Solanum lycopersicum: one gene and its partner. The protein of the gene in region 1 interacts with the protein of each later gene in a pairwise test. Links are inferred from orthologs where the notes say so. Each region holds a gene or a part of one and is shown on either strand. Other genes may lie near its edges.

Region 1 (3,827 bases):
CAGTTACATAGATAGGTACCTTGGAACAAACTCCTCAGTCACCTTAACATCTTAACTATGACATAGTTGTAGTAAATGGCCATGTATCCTCTTTAATGAATCTAAGCAATCTTGAATGAAATGTCCCTCCATCCAGCATTAAATGTGATATCTGGAATAATAATGACAGATCTTGTAACTCCTTGTACAGTTATAAATCAGCCAAAATTAATGTTTCTCCTTGCACAAAGAAAGAGACTATTGCTCCTTTAGTTTCTGTTACAAAATGTTTAGATTTTAATATTAGTAATGTACATAGCTACAGTTAGTAGGAATCTTATTTATAGGAACCCCTCTGAATTTCTTTCCTAAGTTAGCCCCAAATGTATTGTATTTATGCTTTGATCATATATTGGAATATAATAAGATCTTCCATTGTATTACATAGTAATAGATGTAGGTCCATGCCCATTTGGGCTCTCGGTGCATGCTCCAGTTGGGCCCGGGTGTGAGCGGGGTGTTAGAGTGAGTTAGACTCCCATATTGTTTGGGGAGTGAACTGATGGACTGCTATTATGGACTCAGGCGATCCTACCTTCATGTGCTAGCTTTTAAAGTTGAGTAAAACCAGGTTTCAAATCTTTAAATGGAAGCCACTGTCTCTGTGTTGCTTGAAGCTTCATGCAGACCAAGAAAGCCCCTCTGTTTTTCTGTCCCTTGCCTGATGCCAAATCTGAAACAGTACTATCCTTCTCCTTTTGTCGCAAGCCCTGCCCTCGAGCCTTTGCCAAAATTTCAAACCCATTTTGATAAGGACTAGTGATAGGCATAGCAAGAGTTTTAGTCTAGAAACCTTACCCTCGTCCTTACCTGAATTGTGAACCATCATGAATTCCTCATTACCAGCTTTGTCAGTACATTAAGAGCTCTCACCCATAGTAATAAGAATCAGGTTACCAGAATAAACTAATGTGGAAGCAAAATTAAAAACATTAACAGCATAAGATGAAAGATATGTGAAATTTGAGATTAAAATCCTTCAAGAAAAGTGCTAAGAACCCTAATTGTTCTTAGTATTCAAAATTAGTGGATTAAAACAAATTATGATAGTTATAGAGTCAGTTCAAGAACTTAGATCAACAGTGACCTTGACCCCTATTTCGAAGAAATTAGGGAGAACTATCAGTATAAGACTAATAACCTTTTTTAATTTACTTTTGAAGAAACCAAAGATATCAAGTTAAGAATTACTCCATATATATAGGGAAAACCTATCCCAAATAGAATGAGATTCAAATATTACTTTTATGGAGATAATTACTAGGAAACTTAAAATTAGGAAACTTTTACACTAGGAAATTTTTAAACTAAGAAGCTTTTAAAATAGGAAATTTTTATGCTCCTACATGTGGAAGTTATTACTTCATACATGTTGAAGTTGGGGCTTGCAACTGTCCCTCTTTAATCTGACCAGTGGTAGCAATTGCTACAATCTCATGTTCTTGCCTGTTCTTACTAGCTCCACCAGATTCAGGAACTGTAGCTAGTGCTTGATCAGTATTGGATGAAACTCCTGGATCAAAGCTAATGTACCCCATCCCCTTGTTGACGCTACCATGATTTACTATTTACGTAGCATTATTACTTGAAATATTCTTCTTGCCCCTCTTGCCATTTAAAATATCCGTAAAATCCACTTGGTGTGCACTTCTTCATAAGCATCTACCTCATCCTTACTTTTAATATTAATTCTGACAATCTGCAATTGTTATCAGTGTGTCCTTGATGTTTACAACTTTTGTAATATGAAGGAAATCAATTTTATACAACTTCTTGCCACACTTCTTAAGTTCACATGCAGCTTCCTCTCTGATGTTGATCCGGCAAAGTTTATAATAAATCGACCTCAACCTGACCCTAGCTACACTAGGCCTCGTTTGACCATTGATTGCTTTATCTACAGTTAACTGTTTTCCAACTGCTGGAGCTATGGGAAACAAAGCTTCTTAGTAAAGAGTTGTACGGGGAGATCAGGAAAAGATATCCAAGCAAGAGAAATGGAGGTTTCCTCTTTTGGATTAAACAAAAGTGTCCATTTTGAATTCTAAATTGATAATTAACATCCCGACTCTCGTCCTTTACCCCAAATATATGTGATAGTCTCGGAATAAACAGAGATAGTCTCCATGAAGAAAAAGCCTTACCAGCATATGCCTTGAATCTGTGAGACCAAATGAGCAGCCTCCTTTAATTCCCAGAAGTCTAGCTTCACGGGGTGGTCATAATTTCTTTCTTTCTCATATATCTCTAAATATATTGGGAAGTTGTGGATTTCTGCTAAACATAAGTAGATCTGATTTATTGTTTGAATTGTTTTAAAACTTTTAACCGTTGCTAATCCCAGAATCTAGGAAAAAGAGAAGTGTAGACGAAGTTTACTCATCAGCAAGGAAAGAAATGGGGATTAGGTTTGTGTTCTGATGTTGTTACTGTAAATTGTACTAGCTGGCTTTGCTGTCATTGTAGGATTATAGTTTCCATGCCCTGGCGCTGCAGGAAAAAATGTGAGACGGAGAAGTTATCTGCAGAAACTACAGTATCTGTTGAAGTTAATTCTGCTTGTTGTGAAGTTCTTCCATCGAGGGAAGGACAATGTTACTCTAATAGACATACTCCATTGCATGGAAAGTGTAAAAGACTGTTTAAATGGCTGCGTCAAAGGAAGCTTAGGCAGTTGAAGGCTCAAGGAACACATTCCTTAAGCCCTTGTATGAGTTTTAACACTAAGGACGAGTCGTTGGGAGATGTGAAGAGTGATGTAATCTTAAATTCAAGACCTCCTCTTGAAAAGGTGATTTATGAAACTTATACTGCTGTTACCGAATTTGATTTTATATCTAGCTTGTGGTCTTTCACACACCATAATATGGCCCTTTTTGCGTGTGATGCATATGCTGATAAGAGATCACTAACTTGTATGATGTTTCAGAATATTGCAGTTGCAGGTTTTCAATCTTATAACCATTAAGTGCATGTGCATTTTATTCTTGTGAAATGATGCAGTTTGATGATTATAGTGCATGTTTAGTAGCTTGATAACTTCTAGGCATTTGAATGATTGAATCCTACTTATCTTTCTTAGGATTGCTAAAGGGTGTGTATTGGGATCAGTCATCCTTAGCCCCATTTTAACAATCAGAAATTTTCTTTTTTGATGAAAAAGGTTAAAGTTTTTACAATCAGCACTCAGGAAGTTCTGCATGTAGATCACAAATATTTCAGCATCTATTTATATCTTCACCCTCATTTTTTTTGGGTTTAATAAAAGGTTTTCCCTTTTTCTTATTAACAGACAAATGCTTGGTGCTCTTGTTGTTCGGTCTTTGACCATCTTTCTGAGGTCAAAAAGGGAATTCTAATCGACAGGCGAACCATGTTGTACAAGTTGGATAGTTGTTCATCAGTACTCCCGTCCGAACGTATCCTTCTACTTTCCCCCCATGCTAATCTGGCTTGATATTATGGTTCACTTCAATTGCTACTAGTCAAAATTAAGAAAGGGATGGAGTTCCACCACTTCTTGTTCACACTTTTTCTGAAACTTTCTGCTTCTTAAGAGCTAAATGGTTTCATTCCCTTTAATTAGAGAGGAGTTTTGCTTCTGTCTTTATTTTTCCATGTCACTCGAGGAAATGGAAGAACTAAAATAGAAACTGATTGTTGTTTCCCTCTGTGCCACCGTTAGGGAAAACTTTGTTGACAAACTTAAGAATACTCAGACATCTTGTATTCCTTGAAGCCAAACTCTACTGGAGCACGTGAACTCTTCAAGGAAATTTTTGGATCCC
Region 2 (4,331 bases), about 8.8 Mb from region 1:
GTGCGCTATTAAAACATGAATAATGACATTTCTTTAAATAACATATAATTCGATTATTATTTTATTCAATATAAATATTTTTTGGATAAATATTGTGTTAACAAAAGTGTATTTAAATAATGTTACACACTTTAACATTTTCACGAAATATAAAAACTATGTGTTCTCTTGATTTATCGAATTTTTGATCACCAATTGAGTTATTCCAAGAAAAAAATACTGTTTTTTATTTTATGACAAATCCCAAATTCAAATCACTGGCCCACCCCCGAAGGATAAATATTGTTTTTTTTTATTAAAAAGGCTTTCTCAATGTTTAAAAAATATAAATTAAAGTCGAGTTTAATGAATGTATATATTGATTTTCCAGTTACATGAGAGAATCTAACATCATTATCGAATAAAATTGTGAAAATTAAAAATTGACGTATTTTGAATTTATCTTTTTGATAAAGCTTATCTTTCGACGACTTTTCTTTAAAATACTTTATCTCTATTAAAATTAATAATTATGTAAGTAGGTAATCCTTTGTGTTTATGCATATCTTTTTTTTTATATTAAATATAAAGTATAGGACAATCTTAATTTTACTTTTATATTTTGTTACTTATAACTCAATTAGCATCATATTATCAGATTTTTCTAATTGTTAACAGGTTTATATATTAAATTCATTAGATTTTCTAATTATCACAAAATTCTATACGACTATGTATACATGAAATTTGATAAATTAAAAGAGCAATTGAAAAATGCATAATAAGTATAAACTCACACATGCATGCTGCAATAAAATGATCCAGTTATAATTTTGCAAATGTGTACCCCCTGTTTAGACGTTCGTTACTCATTTTATTGTATTGTTAGTTAAAATATAATGCTATTTTTGTTGTTATTTAAATCTTATTATATTGTATTGTTGAAATTATCGTTAGATAACAATGAAAAAACCTATTTTATGAAACAATCAATTTTGTGTGATTGCATCAAAACCTTAATATTTTCTTCTTAATTTGTCTTTGTTAATTATTTAATATCATATTTCATCTTTTACTCTATATTTTTTTTTAATAGATTTATTATGTACTCTATTTTTCTAGTAAATTTATCATTCAAATATTGATTTATAATGTTACATAATGACAGAGGACAAAAAAAATTATTCAAACATTATATTTATTAAAATAGCACTATATATTACGATAGGATACGTAACATCCATCTCATTATGTTATAATAATGTATAAATTTGTCATATAAAATTTATAATAATAATAATAGAGACAGATTAATTATCTCTTTGGTGTGCGCGTGAGAGATAAAAATAAAATAAAATGTATTAATAGGAACTCCCAAAGTGTTAAACAAAGACCAAAAATTAGGCTGTAATTTTCCGTAACGTGTCTTTAAAGCAAAAAACAAGAATACCCAAAGTGAGAATTCTTCAATCTCTAAAAGCTTTTTCTCTTCTTCTCACTTTTCCAGTCTTGTTTGTCTACAGAGAGGGAGAGGGAGAGGCATTGTCCCCTCAATTTCCCACAAAAAAAATGTCTCTTCGACCCAGCAATCGAACTGAAGTTCGCAAGAAATCTTACAAAATTGGGGTTGATGCAGATGAAGCTCGTAGAAGGAGAGAGGACAATTTGGTTGAGATCAGGAAGAATAAGCGAGAAGACAATCTTCTCAAGAAACGCAGAGAGGGTCTTCTTCTTCACTCTCAGCAATTACCCGATGCCACTCAAACCCCTGCTGCTATTGAGAAAAGGGTAATTTTTTCAACTCATTATACCCATTTTTTATATACCCTTTTGAGATTTTTATGGGTTTTGTTTATTTTGTTATTGATCTCAACGATGCGGTGATTCTTGATTTGATTGGTCGATTAAAGTTTGTACTTGTGAAGTGAATTAATCGAAGTCTCTTTCTTTTTTAGAAAAAAATTGTTGTTGCTGAAGTTTGACTACACTTAGTAGTCCACCTTGAGATCCTAATTAATTGTTTGGAAATATTTTTGCGATAAGCAAGAAACACCAGATATTCAACTTTGATTATATCTTTTTTGGCACTGCAGAGAATTAGATGCTGACTTGCTCCGCTAAAAATACCTTTTTCTAAAGATGTGCAGCCTTGGATTACCATTGGGATAGACAAAATGAAATTTTATGCATAACTAATTATTTTGTAATTTGAAAACTCAATTCTTTGGGTGTAAAGAGAGAATGCCAGTTTGTACAGGTTATAAAGACATATGGTGGATGCCACACACAATCACTTGTATATAGTTTTGCACCATCCTAGTAAGAAATGGATAAAAATGTTTCTTCATTTATTAAAAAATGTTAAAAATATTTGCCAAATTTCACTTGGTTGATCAAATTGAGGGAGTGGTAGACCGAGTAGGTTAGTAAGTAGCAGTGATGCTTGGTACCTATGGCTGGTGGAAGGTGGCATGTATCTTGTGAATTAGTTGAGGTGCATGCAAGTTGGTTCGGACACCATGGTTATCAAAAAAAAGGAAAAAAAGAGCATAGCAATGATGTTGGAACTGCACACCGACTAAACTCAGCAAGAGCTTAAAAGGGAACCCATACTTTAGATATAGTGTTCCACAATAATTTTAATTAAATCAACGAAACTACTCCTGGGTAAGTCCTTTGTGATCTCAGATATTCATAATTAGAGCTAACTTTTCTTTTTGTAATTGAGTTCTTATTTTCACCTTTCTTTCACATCTTTATTTGTATATGACATTTTTTGCAAGTGTGAATAAGAAAGTTGAAAATCTTGGGTTAGTATGTCTGTAATTATTTAATGAATAACATGTCTATAATTGATTGTTCCCCAGGTCAATTATGGATATGTTATTCATTTTTTCAATATTCTTATTTCATCCAAAAATGAATAACAGACATGAAAACCGAAAAGCAAAACTCAGTTTGATAATGTTATTCTCTTTGATGAGAAGTGAAGCTCACACTTCAAACAAGGTATGTGCTTCATCAAAATAAATGTCATATGGGTTAGAAAGTGTGGAAGTTTTTCAACATAATTAGGATAAAACTCTTTATATTTAGAAATCCATTAATATGAACCAAGTGATTGCAATTTTGATCCATCCACTGCTTAAAGTGATGCAAAGCAAGAGGTTATATGTGCTTCAGAGGAGTGACCTTTCAAACATGACGAGCAAAGAGTTCCAAATGATAGGCAGTTGATTCTTTGAGTCTCAACTTTAAGGATTTGGATTAATATCACTGTTATTGTATAATGGATGCTGGGATTAGTTATTTTATTTGCAATTTCACTATTATAGTACTATATTCATAGTGTAAACTTTTTTTTAACTTTTTTGTAAATTGTACACTTCACTTCAAAGAAGGGTACACTATCCTTTTCACCTTTTGCTTTAAGCCTTGTGAACCTTGTTGGTTATTTGTGCTTTTCACTTTAAAACATTGTTTTTTAACTTAAGGAAGGTCAAGAACTTAAAATCTGAACATACGAAATAAAAGTTAAAACATTGTTTTTAACTTTCAGTATCAGTACAGCCATGGATTTCAATAGAAAATATAGTTTCAAATTTCAGCAATAGTTCCGCAGCCTAATGAGGAAGTAGGACCAAGGTTTTGTAGAAAGAAGAGATGAGAACAAAAGATGAATGATGCTAGCATCAACACAATCATAAAACCCTTCGGGTTGGCCCAATGGTTTGAGCTTGGGACTTCCATGTTGGAGGCCTCAAGCTTGAAACCCCTTGTTAGCAAGGGGTTTGCCTTCTGGGTTAAGCTCGTCACACCAGGCAAGCCTGATGCAGGTTACCTCTCCTATGTGGTTTGCGAGCTATTGCATAGGAGCGGGGTTTTACCCTGTGCGAACCCGAAAGGCAGCGGTTGCGGGTTTCCCTTGTCATTAAAAAACAATCATGAATGTGAAATTTGATGTGTACAGACAGAAAGAAACAATAGATGCTTTCAAAGCACCTCTTGCCCAACATGAAGTTGTATTTGGAATTTGGAGAACACCCAGCACCCTGTTTTCATTCACTTTATTTTCCCTTTTCAAATTTTACTTTAATTTTTTTTGTTTTATAAAAATGACACCATTTAAATTTTACTTCATTTTTTTAAAGGAAAAGTATTTGCAAACAACCAAATATTATTTGCAAAAATTATAACCAAACAAAACTTCAATTTCAATTTAAAAAATTCCAGATAAAGTGAAAATATTTGTAATAGTATGTAGTAATTCGTATATGAGATCTAATCTATGACCTTATGTGATTATCTATTATGATATATTCAGATTTGATTGTACGTCTCAGTAAAATTAG

What was found.
Region 2: the proteins of telomerase reverse transcriptase (region 1) and importin subunit alpha-4 interact in a two-hybrid assay, tested with the Arabidopsis thaliana proteins (2 studies listed by BioGRID, with this or other methods). The link is inferred for Solanum lycopersicum from reciprocal best matches to the Arabidopsis thaliana genes TERT and IMPA-4.

Annotation. Positions count from the first base shown.
Region 1 is NC_090800.1:77,809,003-77,812,829, forward strand, and holds part of telomerase reverse transcriptase, read left to right. Parts: intron 1-2,383; coding exon 2,384-2,447; intron 2,448-2,535; coding exon 2,536-2,830; intron 2,831-3,331; coding exon 3,332-3,458; intron 3,459-3,758; coding exon 3,759-3,827. UniProt on the Arabidopsis thaliana protein: Telomerase is a ribonucleoprotein enzyme essential for the replication of chromosome termini in most eukaryotes. It elongates telomeres.
Region 2 is NC_090800.1:86,575,286-86,579,616, reverse strand, and holds the start of importin subunit alpha-4, read left to right. Parts: upstream 1-1,306; 5' UTR 1,307-1,548; coding exon 1,549-1,767; intron 1,768-4,331. UniProt on the Arabidopsis thaliana protein: Binds to conventional NLS motifs and mediates nuclear protein import across the nuclear envelope. Acts as a cellular receptor for the nuclear import of the virD2 protein of Agrobacterium and is essential for Agrobacterium-mediated root transformation.